Linked DNA regions of Macaca fascicularis. Each later gene encodes a partner of the first gene's protein in a complex. Links are inferred from orthologs where the notes say so. Each region holds a gene or a part of one and is shown on either strand. Other genes may lie near its edges. The genes, in order: RPTOR and EIF4EBP1.

Region 1 (9,233 bases):
AGGCAGGTGCAGTGGAACAGCTGCTGCTGAGATGGCGGGCGAGGGGGCTGAAGGAAGGCCTTGAATATCAGGCAACGGTTTGGCCTCTACAGAAAATGCGGTTTTAATGAAGGCTTCACCTGGAGGGTAGTGAGGAGCTGGCATGAGAGAGGGCCTGCCCAGTTGTGGTCTGTACAGAGCAAGACCCAGGGCAATGAGGCCTGATGGGATGGGGGCACTGGAAACAGGAGGGATTGATTTAGGGGATTCTTGTGGATGTCAGGTCAGAGGAAGGGCTGAGTGAGAAACAAGCAGGATGGAGACATCAAACAAGATTCTAGAACCTGAGACAGTGCTGAGACCTGGGTTCCCATTTAGTTTCACAAACATTTATCCTGCCCCACCAGGGGCCAGGCACTGCTGGGGGCGGGAACCTGGGCTCCATCAGTGATTGAAGGAAGCCAAGTACCAGCCAAGGGGCTTCACTGCCACAGAGGAGACGGGAAACGCGTGACCGAGGGTGCAACAATGCAAGTGCTCTGGGGAAGGCAGAGCGGGGAGGGCGCTAGCGATGGGGCTTCTGGGGGGCCGGGAAAGATGGGGAGACATGGACGCTCCAGGTTGCCATGGTTCTGAAAGCCTCTGCAATCTTCAATGAAAGGGCCTCAAGAGATTGCAGTTCTTTGGCTGAAATGAAAGAAATTGGCTGGAAACAGGGAAGTGCTGCGCGTAATGGGGTTCTGTGCAGGTGATGAATTCTGAACGCTTAGGTAAGCACGGTGGTTTCCAGGTAGCGTAAGCGACACCTTCCTGAATATGAATGAGGCTGGCTTCGCGGGGGTGACTTTGTTTCTCTCCTTCCTAAACTCCAGCTCATTGTGAAACTCTTCCCTGTCAAATTTCCTAAGATTTGAATGACACACGAATAAAACTCAGTCTTCTCCAGTAAAAAAAAAAAAGTCAGGAATCAGACTGTGTAAGAAGGATGGTGGAATGGGGACTCCAGCTCCTTCGAGAAGACAGAAGAGAAAGAAGGGGCAGAGGAGAAGACTCATGGAGGCCAAGCCCCTGTCCTGGCCCCAAGCTGCCGTGTGCTTTCCGTCTGGGTGACCCTCAGATGACACTGATTCTTCGCCCTGTACTCCACCGAGACTAGTACCGAGGATAACAGCGGCATTCACTCATCACAGACAAGAGCTAAGTTTCACACAGGAGCTGGGCGGGGTCCCCGCGGTCCCTCTCGCCTGTGGACAGCACCCAGGGCCTCAGGCATGGCCCGTGCACAGTAAACACCAGCCTCAGCAAGTTAAGCCACCTGGAAACTCCACAGTTGTGAACTTTCTGCAGCCTTCACCAGCAGAAGGGGAGATGCCCACGTGGTATCCAAAATGCCCAGGGGGAAAGGGAGGTGCAGTGGGCATGGGGACCTGCAGACAGAAGCTCTCAGTGGTGGCATGGTGACCCAGCGCTATACCGCCTGGCTTGAGCTCCCTGGACCAATAAAAGGTGCAGTTCTGCATGCTTGCAGGCCAGGTGCAACTTTTTATTTTGATTCTTACTTGATGGCCAGATACGTGTGAGCGGAGGGATGAGAGTGAACTGAGAACGCCATAGAGCACGGGCTGGGCAGGGCGGTGGGGCAACCAGGCCCTTGGCAGACGGTCACCAGGTGAGCACCGAGGGGTGATGCCGCTGTAGCTTCCTGTGAAAGAGGAAGGCCAGCCGGGTGTGGTGGCTCATGCCTGTAATCCCAGCACTTTGGGAGGCCGAGGCAGGCGGATCACCTGAGGTTGGAAGTTCGAGACCAGCCTGACCAACATGGAGAAACCTTGTCTCTACTAAAAATACAAAATTAGCCAGGTATGTTGGCATGTGCCTGTAATCCCAGCTACTTGGGAGGCTGAGGCAGGAGAATCGCTTGAACCTGGGAGGCGGAGGTTGCAGTGAACAGAGATCATGCCATTAAACTCTAGCCGGGGCGACAAGGGCAAAACTCCGTCTCAAAAAAAAAAAAAAGAAGAAGAAGAAGGCCACAGCGAGCACACAGCCCCAGGAGAGCCACAGTGGAAGCAGGGAGACCCGGGAGGGAGCTGCGACCACCAGGCCAAAGAGCAGCTGGCTCAGGTGGCTGCAAGGCGGGGAGGAGACTGGCCACAGATGCCCTGCCAAGAGAAGGATGCGTGGGGGTACAAAGAGGAGTCTCTGACTCCTGGCCAGGAGTCAACCTGAGTAAACGCCGGTCCCCTCGGCCACAGAGGGAGGACACGTGCTCCTGCAGGGAGGGGAAGGAGATGCCCAGAGCCGATGGTACCGGCTTCGACACAGGTGGCGCTGGGTTTGCCTGTTCTGCACTTTTGTGCCCCAATGTGCACAGTGGGGGCACGGTCAAAATATGTGGCCAATATGTGGAAGAGTCTCAAGCCCTCTGTCTGACTCACAGGAGTGTCCTCAGAGGAGTGTCCCTGCAGGCTGGGGTGCGGGCAGGGTGTGCTCCGCTCTCAGGCTCTCTGAGCTGAACTCGGCCTTGTTCTTCTATGGCCTGTGTATGGTTCTTACACTTTTTTTTTTTTTTTTTGAGACGGAGTCTCGCTCTGTCGCCCAGGCTGGAGTGCAGTGGCGCAATCTCGGCTCACTGCAAGCTCCGCCTCCCGGGTTCACGCCGTTCCCCGGCCTCAGCCTCCCGAGTAGCTGGGACTACAGGCGCCCGCCACTGCGCCCGGCTAATTTTTTCTATTTTTAGTAGAGACGGGGTTTCACCATGGTCTCGATCTGCTGACCTTGTGATCCGCCCGCCTCGGCCTTCCAAAGTGCTGGGATTACAGGCGTGAGCCACCGCGCCCGGCCAGTTCTTACACTTTTTAGGTGGTTGAAAAAAAATCAAAGGAACAATATTTTGTGATGTGAAGTTATGCAAAATTCGAACTTCAGTCCACATGGTTACGTAGCAACATGGCCAAGTTCATTCACTCACACGCGGTCTCTGGCTGCTTTTGCACCACAATGGCAGTGCTGGGGAAGTGCCAAGGGGCAGTCCCACCTGCAAAGCTCTTTCATAGGAAGACTGCAGACTCCTGCTCTAACCTACACGTGACGGCAGGGAGCTACCACCTCGACCTCGGTGAGCATGAACTAACCTGCTGGAGGCGCTAGAGAGGTACTCACAGGAGCTGTGGCCGGGGCCAGGGGAAAGGTGTAATCAAAACAGAATACTATGAATTTACACTTTCTAGTACTTAAAAAAATATTTAAAATACCTTTTTACATTGCAGATTTATAAGTAGAATTTCTGCAGACAGGTTTTAAAAGACACTTGTAGGCTAGCCTGGAAACCTAACCACTATATATAACAATTCTATTTAAAAAGTGTATTCCAGTTCAAAACAAACATCTTACAAGTGATTTTAGAATATATTTCATTGGTGACTTGGCAATACCTCGATTTATACTCTAATATACAGTGTCAACTCTGCGCTTTCTGGGTGCTTGGCATATTTTAGCAGACAACCAAAGCTGCAACGTTATTTCTCAATGAAAATTAACAAGTTGGTCTGTCTGGGCTAAGCTGGCGTGTCTGGGTTGTTGTGTAGTGAACCTTTCAGTTCTCCATACCCTGGAGGGCATGGTGCAAGCTCTGGACTCATTCTATCCAGAGGTGCTCAAGGCAGCAGCTGGCCAAAGCCGGGAGCACACCCACAGGCTTGCCCAGTGGGAACTGCCTTGGCGGATGCCCTGTGTCTGTTTCAGGTCTTTAGGCTCCCATGTGCTGCTGTCATTGTGGCCGGACTGCCGTCCCCGGGAACCACAAGGGAAGTAGAAAGAGAGCTTGAAGCTGAACGCAAGTGAAAAGCCCATCATCAAAGCTCGGCAGGGGGAGCCAGACGGCCGGGGGAGCGGGCGGGATGGGGAGACGGCGGGGGGAGTGGGCCAGGGGAAGACGGCAGTGGCGGGGGTCCCGCAGACCTGAACACACGCATTAGGAAGGAAGGAAAACTCAAAGTTAATGAGCTATTTTTATTTTGCACTTGAGAACTGAAACAGGACAAGAGGGTGATCCTAGAGAAAACAGAAGAAAGGAAACAAAATAAAGTACTGGAATAGAAAAATAAAGATAAAATAATGCAGTAAATTCACAAAGCCTAAGTTAGAACTTGAAGACACTAAAGAAATGAACAAATATCTTAGAGGATTCATCAATAAAAAGAGGAAAAGGCAAATAAACAACAATAGGAATAAAAAGGGACACATCTAAAGAGACAGCAGATTGGGAATGACAGAGCAGCTGGAACAATAAAGAGATTAGAGACTCATGAGAATACTGCAGACAGCCTCAAGGGAAAGAATGAGAATACTTAGCTGGATTGAATAAAATCCTAGAAAAATAAAAGTTTTTGAAGCTAGCTTAAGAAGAAATAGAGAGTGTAAATAATCCTATCAGCATTGAAGAAATGGAATACAGAATTCAAACCCACCCTCACAACGTCACACTAGCCCAGACAGCTCGGGGCAAATTCAGGGGAGGCTTCTCGGAAGGTGCTGCCGGATGGGGGCTCTGAATGAGAGGGGAGCGGTACCATATGCCCGAGAAGAGCTTCCCCACCGAAGCCCAGGCTGGGGGCCGCGAGTGCCGGGGCCCAGCAGAGCTGGGTGCAGCGAGTGAGGGGTGTGTCGGACGTGGGGCTCCATGGTGGCAGGGGCTGAATTCTGAGTTTGCTAATTAAAAAAAGGAACAAAAAAGAAGAAGAAACTAGAACCAGCCTCACAGTGCCCCGACAGGAGAATGGATAATGGAGTCACGGCAGAGAGCAGAGGTGAAGGAACAAAACCTAGATGACTATCAAAGATACAGATTGAAGTCAGAGCCAAACGGGTTTTGCAGGCCACGCGTTGTGTGACGGCGCCAACAGGAGGTAAAAGCCTCTAAGTGGGTACCACGTATGTGCCAGGGCTCATGGCCAGAAAGGGAAAGGATAACGTCACCAGAGGGAATGGGACCGGGGTGGGCTCTGGGGCTCGACCTCTGTAATTCCTTAAGCTGGGAATACAACACGCAGACACACACACACACACACACACATATACACACGCAAGTCTCTGTAAATTTTTACATGGCTAAAATGTTCCTTAATATGAAAAAAACTCAAGTGAAGCCGGTAAGCCATTCTGGATAGTCAGAACAAGAGGAGAGGAGGCTCGTTTGGTTAAGCCCTAAATCTGTTACCAGCAGTGTGAAGATGAACACAGCTACACAATAAGAAAACACAGTGAATTCCTGCTTCTCCTGCTTTACATCAGCAATCCTGGTGGTAGAACCCAGGCATACACCATTCATGGCAGAACAAGAGAAGAATCCGACCCTTCCATCAGATTTCCATTTCCAGGCAGTGCTGCGTCCAGCTGCTGGAATGGAGGGAAAGTTCTGTAGAGATTCCGCAGATGGGCAGGGCGGGGATGACAGCCCCCAGTCCCGACCGCAGGGCCCTCTGCCGCTCACTGCGGACACTCTGTGTGGGGGCCGATCTGGGCACTAGAGGATGTGAGCAGCTTCCTGGCCTCACCCACTAGGGCAAAGAGCACCCCTACTGTGCCCTAGTTGCACCTGCGGGCAAACCCAGCCCCGGTTGAGAAGCACTGCTCTGCATCACCAGGGTGTCAAGCACCCATGAAGAACGCTCATCCATCTACAGAAGAAAGATGGAAGGTTCTGGCAGCCTTCCCACCCGGCCAAGCTAGCCAGCTCCCATGGCTCCGGAGCGGCCTGTAAAATACCATCCCATCACAACAGTGATTTCAACTTTCCCGCTTCCCCCAGCAAAATATCCTCACGTCCTCGCAGTCCAGCTGACTTTTATTCTTTCTTTTGAACAGATAGCTTCGACACCCACTGCCCTATGCAGACACAGGTTGGTGCTGCTCTGTGTGGGGAGGAGACCCTCGGGGCCTCTCGGAAGCAGAAAGGGGCACTCGGACTCACCGATGAGGGAGTTGAGGGAGGAGTAGGAGCTGGCGCGGCGCATCTTGTCGATGGTCTCGAAGGACAGGATGTGCTCCTCATTCTCGGGGCTGCCCAGGGTACTGCTGGCACTGCTGCTGGTGCTGAGGTTTCCAGGGGAGAACGCCACCGCGCCGCCGGCTGCCCGAGACACAGTGGGGTCAGTGGGGTGCTCCCGGGACCCTCCTTTTGGTCTTAAAGTTAATGGCATGACTGAGATATGTATTTTCTTCTAAATAAAGCTCAGCACACCCAGGCACAAACACACCCTGGTACATACACACCCTAGCACACACACCCTGGTATACACACACCCTGGTACACACACCCTGGCGCACATTATACCCTGGTACACACACCCTGCCGTGCACACACCCTGGTAAACACACCCTGGTACACACACCCTGGCATACACACACCCTGGTACACACACCGTGGTACACACACACCCTGGCATACACACACCCTGGCACACACACACCCTGGCGCACACACACCCTGGTACACACACCCTGGCACATACCCTGGTACACACACCCTGGCACACACACACCCTGGTACACACACCCTGGCGCACACACACCCCGGTGCGCACACCCTGGCTCACACACACCCTGGTACACACACACTGGTACACACACACCCTGGTACACACACACTGGCACACACACACCCTGGTACACACACACACCCTGGTACACACACACTGGCACACACACACCCTGGTGCACACATAGGCACAGGAACTCACTGATCTCCCTGGGAACCAAGCTCCACACCCACAGACTGGGGCAGGGCACGGCCCTCCAAGGAGCCGCCGCTTCGCCTGCGACTGCAATTGAGCTCTGCACTGGTAACGTGCCCGCTGGCTGTTCTGGGGACTGGCCTACGCCTCCTTGCCATGCTCACGTCTGGAAGGGTGACTCCAGACGAGGACAGCTGGCTCATCACCATGTTGCCAGATGCAACTTCAGGGCATGCACTTAGAGAAGGGGCAGGGGCAGAGTGATTCTTGCTCAGATAAAAAGTTTTGGAAAATACAACCCCAATCTCTCCCAATCCAAGAACCCAGTTTCCAGGATCTTACATTCCTCTGTCAAGCTCAGGTTCTGCAAAGATTTGTTGAGGCTCCTGGCTGTGGCGACAGCACGGATGTTTCCATAGGAGCTCACGGAACGAAGTCTGGGGGTGCACGGGCTGTCTCGCACTGGGGTCAGACTCCCTCCCTCTGGGAAAGAAGGAGAAAGACAAGTTACGATGGGCTTCCAGGTGCAGGCCGGCGTGTCTTCTGACACTCAGCAGCTGGGACACTCGGTGACGGCAGCTGCTACCTATACTGGAACGAATGTGAACGCAGGAGCTGCGCAGCTCAGGGAGACTCAGACGTGAGTGGAGGCTCTGCGGGATGGCACTGGACAAACGACAACCGCTTGTCGCTCTGTGGATATTAAATTACAAAAGACAACAGGGGAGAGGCTGGTGGCTGCGGCCTGTCCAAGTGCACACAAGGTGCGTGGTGACGTGGGCCATGAGCCGTTCCCCGGGAAGCCGCAGCAGAGCAATGGCCGGCCGCACTCAGTCTGGCTCACCCTTCTCCCTTCCTGGGCTTCCTATAAGCAGTGAGGCTTCACTGTTGATGACAAGCCTCTGCATGGCAGAGACGGCTGTGTGGTAGGGGAGGGGCTGCCAGCAGCGATGAGATAGGAACTGTACTCTCCAGTCAAAACGACACGTGTGAGAAAGGACTCGACATGACTCACCGAGCCACGGAGCCAACAGCAGTGTGATGAAATGACTCACGGCAGGAAGGCGGCCCCTGCGCTTTTCTGCAAAGCTCCTATTGCAGAAGTTTGTCATACTTCAAGGTTTCTGTGAGTTTAATTTCCAAAAAGGGTAAAAAGAAAGGAAAAATGTAAGAGGGTCAGTGTGGCCCTCTTTCCTGTCCTTTCGAATCTGACGGGTGCCTAAAAAGATGAGAAACACAGGGACCCCTTGCAGAGGGATCTGGGAAACCCGAGCTTAGACTCTGCGAGAGTCAGCAAGTGGCCAGCAGTCCTGAGACTGGGCCAGGCCTGCGCTAGAACCGCCAGGCCAGGTGCTCAGCGGGTTCACAGGAGACGCCGTACCTGTGGTCGCTGGAGAAGGCAAGGGGTAGTTCTTCTCCTCTTCTATGAACTGCAGGGCCACAGTGCAGAAATTGCTTTCGTACTGAACCACGAGATGACTCAGAGCCACCACCAGCTCCTGCCGAGAGGGAGACGGGACAATAACACTCACTGGGGCCGGAAGATGACTGAGGGCAGCAGTGAGATGTGAGTCACCCACAGAAAAGAAAGGTTAAGACAAAAGCGTGCTGTCGGCGTCAGAAAAAGGGACCATCCCTTTTCGAACCCAGAAGCCTTGAACAGCAGTGCCGTGGAGATGGCAGGCCACCGGCTCACGGGGGAAGCCCAGAACGCCTGCCAGGATCCTCACCACCGCTAGCTGCGCACGACGCATGGGGGTCTCATAAGGACACGGTGAGTCATAGACTCCAGGCGGGGAAAGGTAGGAGGCCTCACAGCCTCTCGCTTACGGTCACCACTGGGACCCCGGCTGAAAACGCCGCTTTAGATCACACCCGACGGCTGGCGGCCTTTCTGAATCTGAGCACCCCAGGGCCGAGCGCAGCGGACAAGCTGAAGCCTGCTCTTTTCAACACACGTGAAACTTTTACTGGAAGACGTTTCTAGTCCCTAAGAGGGAATGGGAAAAGTTGTGGAACTAAAACATCATCTTTAGGCCCAAATGCCTTGGTCCAGGGAAACAGACACAATTTGCCTCTGTTTTAGGACGGTTCAGTGCTGTGACAGGAACAGCTGGAGATCCTAGAAGTCACTGGGAAACAGAAGGGGGATGTAGGTTTAAAAAACAGAAGGAATGCTTTTTTCCCTACGACAACTTTCTCTGCCTTTTTTTTCTACAAAGAAAAAAGATGGATTCTTAGCAGAAAGCCAAGTGCTGCGAGAGGACCCCTTGCTTGTTGCGTGATGCTCCCGTCTCCGCAGCAGCAGGATGAGCAGGCTCTGGATGGGCGCCCACCAGGGACCAGGGTCTTCTCGTGGCCGCCCACTCTCCGTCTACACGCTCTCTGTCCATGCACTCTCCCACCCCAGCTTTACACGCCCTGGGCTTCCTCCTGTCGTGCTTTGTGGTTTCCCTGATGCTGGCCCCTCACTCTCCTAGCTCCAGGCTGGCTGTCCAGCTGTCGGCTCTTCACCTGCAC
Region 2 (9,333 bases), on another chromosome or scaffold:
CCCAGCTACTTGGGAGGCTGAGGCAGGAGAATCGCTTGAACCCAGGAGGCGCAGGTTGCAGTGAGCCAAGATCGCACCACTGCAACCTACGCTCCAGCCTGGGTAATAAGAGCGAACCTCTATTTCAAAATAATAATAATAATAACAACAACAACAATAAAAAGGAGTCTGGGGATTGGAAGGAGTCCGGGGTGCTCTACATCAGGAACCCCCCCCCACCAAATCTTTAATAAGGGACACAGTGTGGAATGCTTCCAACACTTTAAAAATTTTATTTATTTAATTTATACCTACAGTCTCATTATGTTGCTCAGGCTGGTCTTGAACTCCTGGCCTTGAGTAATTTTCCTGCTTCAGCCTTCCTAGTAGCTGGGATTACAGGTGCGAGCCACTGCACCTGGCTCCTTCAAACACTTTAAAAGGAAGCTCAGGTAAATGTGAGAAGAGGGTCCATTGTTTCTCCCTCACTGCATTAATGTCCAAGCTCTTTTAACCCATCCTTAATAATAACTTCTTCCCTCTATGTGACTAAGGCCTCAGGACATGGGCTGTGCTCTGGCTTCGATGCCTAGCCTACGTCCCCCCTCTTCCCAGCACCGCCTCTTTCATGTCCAAAGACTTGGGAGCTGCTCCAAGGTAAGCTTCCCAGGCACAGACCTTGTTTGCTTAACCAAACAGGGTGCCATTAACACCTGCAGCTCTACCTGCTCACCTCGGATTCACCTTATCCAGGTACGAGTCTTTGGCATAACTGCCACCCAAGCCTGTATGTAGGCTTCAGAGTCAAACATGCAACACGGAGCTGGGAATGTGGAGATCGATAAGGGAAAGTTTCTTTCTGATCCACTCAAAGGTTCTGCTGGCTAATGGGTTGTTTATGGTGTTGCTGGATATTTCTAAGACTCCAAAGACTCAAATATTCATACATGACACTCCCTTCAGCAAAATTCTCTTAAGTACTCCGGACAGCTAACCTCAGCAGAGCCTCAGTGTACAAATGGTTAATGACCATGGAAAGCAAACTGGAGGCCGGGTGAGGTGACTCATGCCTATAATCCCAGCAGTTTGGGAGGCTGAGGTGGGAGGATTGCTTGAACCCAGGAGTCTGAGGCCAGCCTGGGCAATACAGAGAGACCCTGCCTCTACAAAAAAATCAAAAACTTAGCAGGGTATGGGGGCACGTGCCTATAGTCCCAGCTACTTGCAAGGCTGAGGCAGGAGGATCACTTGAGCCCAGGAGTTTGAGACTGCAGTGAGCTATGTTCATGTTACTGTACTCCAGCCTGGGTGACACAGTGAGACCCTGTCTCAGGAAAAAAAAAAAAAAAAAAAAAGGAAAGCAAACTGCAGTCACAGGAACGGAGATAGCGCAACCCAACTCTGCTTCTTTCCCTCCAGGGACGATCACTTGATGGCCATTCCCAGCAGGAGTGACTGGTGGGCACTTACTCCAGTGGTTTTTCCTGAGAAGCTGACAGTCCCTATAAGTAAGCAGGTGCAGACAGCCATACAGACACTCTATCAAAAGCCTGACTCTCCACACCATGATTTAGAGACAGATGCTGAGCCCAACCTCAAGGTTTACCTGGATGGAGTCATCATTTTTTTTTTTTTTTCCGCCAGACTCCAGAGATCTGAAAGGTGAGGGAAGTTACGTTCCACTAATTCCTGAGTACTCAGAGTGTGGTATATGCACCAATCACTGAGAGCTAGTTAGAAATGATGAATCTAGGCTGGGCATGGTGACTCATGCCTGTAATCCCAGCACTCTGGAAGGCCGAGGCAGGCAGATCACTTGAGGTCAGGAGTTTGAGACCAGCCTGGCCAACACGGTGAAATCCCCGTCTCTGCCAAAAAATACAAAAATTAGCTGGGCATGAGTGGCGTGTGCCTGTTGTCCCAGCTATTGGGGAGGCTGAGGTGGGAGGATCGCTTGACCCCGGGAGGTGGAGGTTGCTGTGAGCTGAGATCATGCCATTGCACTCCAGCCCAGGTGACAGAGTGAGACCCTTCTCAAAAAAAAAAAAAAAAAAAGAAAGAAAGAAAAAAGAAAGAAATGCTGAATCTAGTCCCCACCCCCACCTACAGAATCAGAATATGCACTTAAATGAAGCCCCCAGTTATCCTCAAGCACCTGGAAGGTTGAGACGCAGTATTCTGCTCTGGAGCAAAAGGGTCCTGCGATGTGACCATTTCAGCTTCTCTGCCCTAGCAGAGGTGGGCTGAGGTGGGCTTTGGAGGAAGAGTTCACACCTTGGCTAATCGAGGCCGACCAGGCTTGCTTGACTTTAGTGGAAGTAAGCCGGGTTTCCCTGGCTTAGGGACTGTGAGCTGTACCTGGATGACCCAAAGAGTGAGCTGGCTTTAGGCTCCTGGCACTGCTAGCTTCTTCCAGTGATCTCAGAAACATGCTATGCCCTGATGCAGAAGCCCCTTCCCCACTCCCCCTACTGTTAAAGACCTTCGGCCGGGCGCGGTGGCTCAAGCCTGTAATCCCAGCACTTTGGGAGGCCGAGACGGGCGGATCACGAGGTCAGGAGATCGAGACCATCCTGGGTAACACAGTGAAACCCCGTCTCTACTAAAAATACAAAAACTTAGCCGGGCGAGGTGGCAGGCGCCTGTAGTCCCAGCTACTCGGGAGGCTGAGGCAGGAGAATGGCGTGAACCCGGGAGGCGGAGCTTGCAGTGAGCTGAGATCCGGCCACTGCACTCCAGCCTGGGTGACAGAGCGAGACTCCGTCTCAAAAAAAAAAAAAAAAAAAAAAAAAAAAAAAAAAAAAAAAAAGACCTTCAAAAGGAGGGGGATTTGCTGTGGTCTGTCAGCCCCCTGCCTACTCCCCACTTCCCAACCCAAAGTGAAAAGTGGATTCAAAGTTCATATATTTTATGTTTATTATTTATTTTAGAGACAGGGTCTCGCTCTGTCACCCAGGCTGGAATGCAGTGGTCAATCATAGCTCACTACAGCCTCCAACTCCTGGGCTCAAGCGACCCTCTGGCCGCAGCCTCTGTAATAGCTAGGACATCTTTTTTTTTTTTTTTTGTAGAGATGGAGTCTCACTATGTTGCCCAGGCTGGTCTTGAACTCCTGGCCTCAAGCAATTCTCCTGCCTCGACTCCCCAAAATGCTGAGATTACAGGTGTGAACCTTGGTACCCGTGCCAGAAGTGCCTATAAACAGTATCTGTGGCTTCCAATTTGACCCAACAATCCAGCAATAAAAGGCGCAAAAAAGGGCTACCTGTGCCTTCAGGCCAGCCTCAGGGCCCACCCTGAACAAATCCAGCAGACACTTACACCCTCAGTTGAAAGAAGTCCAAAATTGTCAGGAATTGTCCTGGTAGACCATTGTGACAGGGACAAAGGAGAACAGCATGAACTACAAAAGACCCAGCAAGGGAAAGAGGATGAGTCGGGAGTGGCAATAAGAGCCCCTGCGAGCTTTTCCTTGGCTCATTTCTAATAGAAAACGAAGCATTCCTCCCTTCTCTGCCTGGTTGCTATTTCTTGTCCAATCTGGGAAAACGGTGTGACAATGGGCAATAGACACGTGTTCAAGCTCTGGGGCCTCAATGCCCGGCTCTGTAGAATAAGGCGGCAGGGCTGGACAAGATCCCTAACCGTTCTAACAGTGTATGTTTTGGATCAAATAGCTGAGGACCTCGGATCCGGCCGTGCATGCTGCTGGTAGGACAGCTGCCTGAGAAAATAAGCATGTGGCCCCTGCCCGCCACCGAGTGAAGCGCCAGGATCTGTCGCGTTTTCGAGTAGTTTGGAAAGCAGCGTGGAGGAGATTGAAGGGAGAGAAGTCAAAGGGGTGGGGGCAGTACGAGGATGGGAGGGGAGTGGAGAGCCACGAGGATTTGTTTCATCATGCAAACAGGCGCGTAGGTTTCATCAGCGTCTGTGCGCTGGGGTTGCGGGGCTGGGAGGGAATGCCAGGCTCCTGAGGGCAGCCTGAGGCTGCCCCCCCACCCCCGCACCCGTGCCAGCTCAGCTTCCTCTTCCTCATCCTCTCCCAGGGAGGTCACACGGTGCCTCCTCCTCTCCCCGGACAGAAGAACGTGTTTTTCTGCACAGCCCTGCCCGTGGCGCCCGGCCCCCCCGCGGAGATCCCACTCGCGAAAATGGGGAACGTGCCACAGGTGCCCGGGAGGCTCTGCTGGAGCAGGAGAGCACCCCCACATCCAAACCTCCGTCAGAGCGCGCGTGTCCAACGCAAAACTAGGGGTGCTTCGGAAAGGAAAAAGGGCCCTGCAGGAATCATTTATCCCAACAGATAATACCCATCCCATAAAAACACCAGGCCAGGCCTCTCCTGGATCGTGGGCCACCCTGACTCCGCCCTATCCTGCCTCGGGAGCGCCCCCAACACCCACAAGGGGCAGCACAGCTCGGCATGTGGCAGTCCTGGAAGAGTGCGTGTTTGTTAGGTGTCAGCTGTCTGACACCTAACAGAAAGAGGAAACGAACGGGGCAGTTTGCAACCTGGGTCTGGACGACGCACTCAAGAGGGCAGACGGGCGGCCACTTCCATGACCCTTGCTATCTCCCCGATGCCCCTTCTCCGTTCTTTCCAGTCACAGCGCCCTTGAGCCTGGACACCCGGTCCAATCCGCGATTCCCGATCCTCCCGCCCGCCCAGGAGCCGGCCAGCTGCGTCCCCAAGCCCGCGCCTACCTCCCGGGGTGGTGCTGAAGAGTGTGCCGCCGGGGGTCGTGCTGTAGTCCCCGGGCGGGAGCTGCACGCCGTCGCCGAGCACCACCCGGCGAGTGGCGGGGATGGCCCGACTTGGGGTTTGGCTGCAGCTGCTGCCCCCGGACATGGTCTCCTGTGCGCTGCACCAGCGAACCTCTCGCTGCCCTCCCGCGCCTCCAGCCTCGCTCCGCCTAGCCGGGTCCCGCTCAGCCTCGCCCCGTCCCGCCCCGCCCCAGGACGCCCCTTCCGCCTCTCCCGCCCACGCCCCTGGGATTTGTAGTCCGCGCCGCAGCCCCACCCAGCTCCAGGACGTTGCTTCCACGTGGGATCCCCCGCAGCCCCCCGACCCACTCACGCCTGCTCACGGGCTCTTCCGCACGGGCGCCGGCGCCGCCCCGCAGCGACTGCCCCTCTGTCCTGTGTCCCTCCCCGCCACGTTGGCAGGGATGGGGGTGGGGGTGGTGGGCGGGATAGCTCGCCTAAATTAATCCTTGGCTGGGTTGGGGGCGGCGACTCAGGACCGCGCGGAGATCCGAGCTGACCCGGCCCACTGCAGGAAGGCCCGGTTTCTGCCTTAGTACATCAGGCCCGGTGTACCCTCCGGCACTCCCTGTTTCGTGCCTTAGTTCCTCAGATGAGAAAGTGGGGATTGAGTGGTCATGCTCACCCCCTCCCCCGCCTCAATTTCTTGACCTTGATGGGGGTGGGGATGGTGGGGCTAACAATTCTGTTCCCGGCCTTTAGACAGGGTGTGGGAGGAGGAGTGAACCAACCAGCGGCGTCCTGGGAGTTAAATTTAGAGCTAGGGCGCGGGGGTAGGGGGAGAGGGAAGGGCGTAGGAGAGGGGTAAGAGTTTGTCAAAGAGGTTTCCCGATAACTCCTGAATTGGGTCCAACGCCCACCCCACTGCCTGAGATTTAGTAGGTACTCCTTGGATGGTGGATGGAGGGATGTTCAAGGGGAGAGAGAAAAATGCAAGAAGGACCGAGGATGGAAAAGCTTGTTGGGTTTGAGAAGTTCTTAGCATTGTGGGCACATGTTGTGGGGAAGAGGGTGAAGAAAGTTTAAAAGGGAAATTGGGTGGTGCACCTGTAATCCCCACTACTCAGGAAGCTGAGCTGGAGGATGCTTGAGCTCAGGAGTTTGAGGCTCCAGTGAGTGTGATCACACCACTGCACTCCACCCTTAGTGACAGAGACCCTATCTCTAAAAAATATATAATAATTTTTTAAAAAGGAAATTGGGGTCAGGTCATTGAGTTTTTCAAATCATGCCAAAGTGCTTGGACTTTGTCTTAGAAGGGCAGGAGAGATCAGAGATTTTTTTTTTTTTTTTTTTTTTTTAAGGCTGGAGTGCAGTGGCGCGATCTTGGCTCACTGCAAGCTCTGCCTCCCGGGTTCACGCCATTCTCCTGCCTCAGCCTCCCGAGTAGCTGGGACTACAGGCGCCCGCCACTGCGCCCAGCTAATTTTTTGTATTTTTAGTAGAGATGGGATTTCACCGTGTTAGCCAGGATGGTGTTGGTGTCGATCTCCTAACCTCGTGATCCACCCGCCTCGGCCTCCCAAAGTGCTGGGATTACAGGCGTGAGTCACCGCGTCCAGCCCAGAGATCTTTTAAGCAGGGGGATGACATGATTTGAGTTGTTTTTTTTGAAAGATAACTAGTAGCCAGTGGAGTTTCAGGATGGGCCAAGGAGGGCAAGGCCTGAGATAGGGAGACCTGTTGAATTTGGTCTCACTTTTGAGGGAAACTTTAGGCCTACAGTGGCTTAAGACAGTAGCCGCCAGCTACAGGTGCACATTGAGCACTCCAAATGTGGCCAGTCCAAACTGTCACAAGTTTAACATACACACCATATTTCAAAGACTTAGCATGAAAAAAATAATGTAAAATGCCTGAATAATTTGTTTCTATATTGATTGTATGTTGAACTGATAATATTTTGAGTATATTGGGTTCAGAAAATTACATTAAAAAATTAATTTTGGGCCAGGTGCAGTGGCTTACGCCTGTAATCCCAACACTTTGGGAGGCCGAGGTGGGCAGATCACGAGGTCAAGAGATCGAGACCATCCTGGACAACATGGTGAAACCCTGTGTCTACTAAAAATACAAAAAAAATTAGCTGGGCATGGTGGTGCGTGCCTGTAGTTCCAGCTTACTCGGGAGGCTGAGGCAGGAGAATCGCTTGAACCTGGGAGGTGGAGGTTGCAGTGAGCCGAGATCACACCACTGCACTGCAGCCTGGTATCAGAGCAAGACTCCATCTCAAAAGAAAAAAAAAAATTAGGCCGGGCGCGGTGGCTCAAGCCTGTAATCCCAGCACTTTGGGAGGCCGAGACGGGCGGATCACGAGGTCAGGAGTTCGAGACCATGCTGGCTAACACGGTGAAACCCCGTCTCTACTAAAAAATACAAAAAACTAGCCGGGCGAGGTGGCGGGCGCCTGTAGTCCCGGCTACTCGGCAGGCTGAGGCAGGAGAATGGCGTAAAAACCCGGGAGGCAGAGCTTGCAGTGAGCTGAGATCCAGCCACTGCACTCCAGCCTGGGCGACACAGCGAGACTCCGTCTCAAAAAAAAAAAAAAAGAAAAAAAAAATTAATTTCGGCCAGGTGCGGTGGCTCACGCCTGTAATCCCAGCACTTTGGGAGGCCTAGGCGGGTGGATCATGAGGTCAGGAGTTCAAGACCAGCTTGCCAAGATGGTGAAACCCTGTCTCTACTAAAAATACAAACAACAACAACAAAAAGCCGGCCATAATGGCCGGCACCTGTAATCCCAGCTACTCAGGAGGCTGAGGCAGAGGTTGTAGTGAGCCGAGAACCACCACTGCACTCCTGCCTGGGCGACAGAGTAAGACGCTGTCTCAAAAAAAAAAAAAAAAAAAAGAAGGCCGGGCATGGTGGCTCACGCCTGTAATCCCAGCACTTTGGGAGGCCGAGGCGGGTGGATCACGAGGTCAGGAGATCGAGACCATCCTGGCTAACACGGTGAAACCCTGTCTCTACTAAAAATACAAAAAATTAGCCGGACGTGGTGGTGGGCGCCTGTAGTCCCAGCTACTCGGGAGGCTGAGGCAGGAGAATGGCGTGAACCCGGGAGGTGGAGCTTGCAGCGAGCCGAGATGGCGCCACTGCACTCCAGCCTGGGTGACAGAGCAAGACTCCGTCTCAAAAAAAAAAAAAAAGAAAAAGAAATTAATTTCGTCCAGGCTGTGGATCACACCTGTAATCCCAGTACATTTGGAGGCTGAAGTGATCAGAGTGCTTGGGCGCAGGAGTTTGAGACCAGCCTGGGCTACATGGTGAAACCTTGTCTCTACAAAAAAATTTAAAAATTAGCCCAGTGTTGTGGCTCACACCTGTGGTCCCAGCTGCTTTCAAGGATGAGGTAGGAAGATGACCTGAGCCCCAGAGGTGGAGGTTGCCATGAGCCAAGATTGCACCACTGCACTCCAGCCGGGGCTCAAAAACAAAATAAATAAAATAAGAAAAAATAAAAATAGATCAGGTCTTGGTGGTTGGGATTACAAGGCCAGAGGATTGCTTGAGGCCTGAAGTTCAGAGACCAGCCTGGGCAACATAGCAAGACCTTGTTTCAAAAAATGGCTTGTGAGCCATTACAGGTGGCTCACACCTGTAATCCCAACACTGAGAGGCCGAGGCGGTCAGATCACAAGGTCAGGAGACCGAGACCATCCTAGCTAACACGGTGAAACCCCGTCTCTACTAAAAATACAAAAAAAAAAAAAAAAAAATTACCCGGGCATGGTGGCAGACTCCTGTAGTCCCAGCTTCTCAGGAGGCTGAGGCAGGAGAATCACCTGAAACTGGGAGGCAGAAGTTGCAGTGGGCCGAGATCATGCCACTGCACTCCAGCCTGGGTGACAGAGCAAGATTTCGTCTCCCAAAGAAAAAAAAAAAAAGAGTTTCACTCTTGCCTGAGCTGGAGTGCAGTGGCTAATTATAGGCACAATCATAGCTCATTACAGCCTCCAATTCCTGGGCTCAAGCAATCCTCCCACCTCAGCCTCCCCAGCTGGGATTACAGGTGGGTGCCACTGCACCTAAGTAAAGAAAATAATTTTTTGGCTGGGTGAGGTGGCTCACGCCTGTAATTCCAGCAGTTTGGGAGGCTGAGTCAGACAGATCACCTGAGGTCAGGAGACCAGCCTGTCCAACATGGTGAAACCCTGTCTCTACTAAAAATACAAAAATTAGCCAGGCGTGGTGGTGTGCGCCTGTAATCCCAGCTACTCAGGAGACAGGAGAATCACTTGAACCCAGGAGGCATAGGTTGCAGTGAGCTAAGATCCTGCCACTACACTTTAGGCTGGGCAACAGCAAGACTCCATCTGAAAAAAAAAAAAATTTTTTTTTTTTTTTTGTAGAGATGAGGTCTTGCTATGTTACCCAGGTTTGCCTCAAGCTCCTGGCCTCAAGTGATCCTCGGTCCTCAGCCTCTTAAAGTGTTGGGATTACAGGCATGAGCCACCATGACCGGGCCCTCTACCTTTTTCTAGAGCAGGAACTCATTCATATGGAAAAAACAGCTTTTACGTGAGGAATGGGAATCCTTTTAAATTATCAGACCTAGACATTAAAATGAGACAGCAATCACGTCCCACT

The links.
Region 2: the proteins of RPTOR (region 1) and EIF4EBP1 are in contact, whole or in part, in a cryo-EM structure (PDB 6BCX), measured with the Homo sapiens proteins. The link is inferred for Macaca fascicularis from reciprocal best matches to the Homo sapiens genes RPTOR and EIF4EBP1. Residues at the interface, in NP_065812.1 of Homo sapiens: Arg54, Arg305, Thr317, Asp321, Phe337, Arg338, Leu341, Ala344, Arg348, Leu437, Gln438, Leu440, Leu441, Ser442, Gln443, Arg446, Tyr475, Lys478, Leu479, Gln481; in NP_004086.1 of Homo sapiens: Glu111, Ser112, Gln113, Phe114, Glu115, Met116, Asp117, Ile118.

Annotation. Positions count from the first base shown.
Region 1 is NC_088390.1:87,310,776-87,320,008, reverse strand, and holds part of RPTOR (regulatory-associated protein of mTOR), read right to left. Parts: intron 8,213-9,233; coding exon 8,095-8,212; intron 7,197-8,094; coding exon 7,056-7,196; intron 6,110-7,055; coding exon 5,951-6,109; intron 5,377-5,950; coding exon of another isoform or gene 5,117-5,376; exon of another isoform or gene 3,981-5,116; intron 1-3,980. UniProt on the Homo sapiens protein: Component of the mechanistic target of rapamycin complex 1 (mTORC1), an evolutionarily conserved central nutrient sensor that stimulates anabolic reactions and macromolecule biosynthesis to promote cellular biomass generation and growth.
Region 2 is NC_088382.1:41,417,662-41,426,994, reverse strand, and holds the start of EIF4EBP1 (eukaryotic translation initiation factor 4E-binding protein 1), read right to left. Parts: upstream 4,891-9,333; 5' UTR 4,829-4,890; coding exon 4,684-4,828; intron 1-4,683. UniProt on the Homo sapiens protein: Repressor of translation initiation that regulates EIF4E activity by preventing its assembly into the eIF4F complex: hypophosphorylated form competes with EIF4G1/EIF4G3 and strongly binds to EIF4E, leading to repress translation.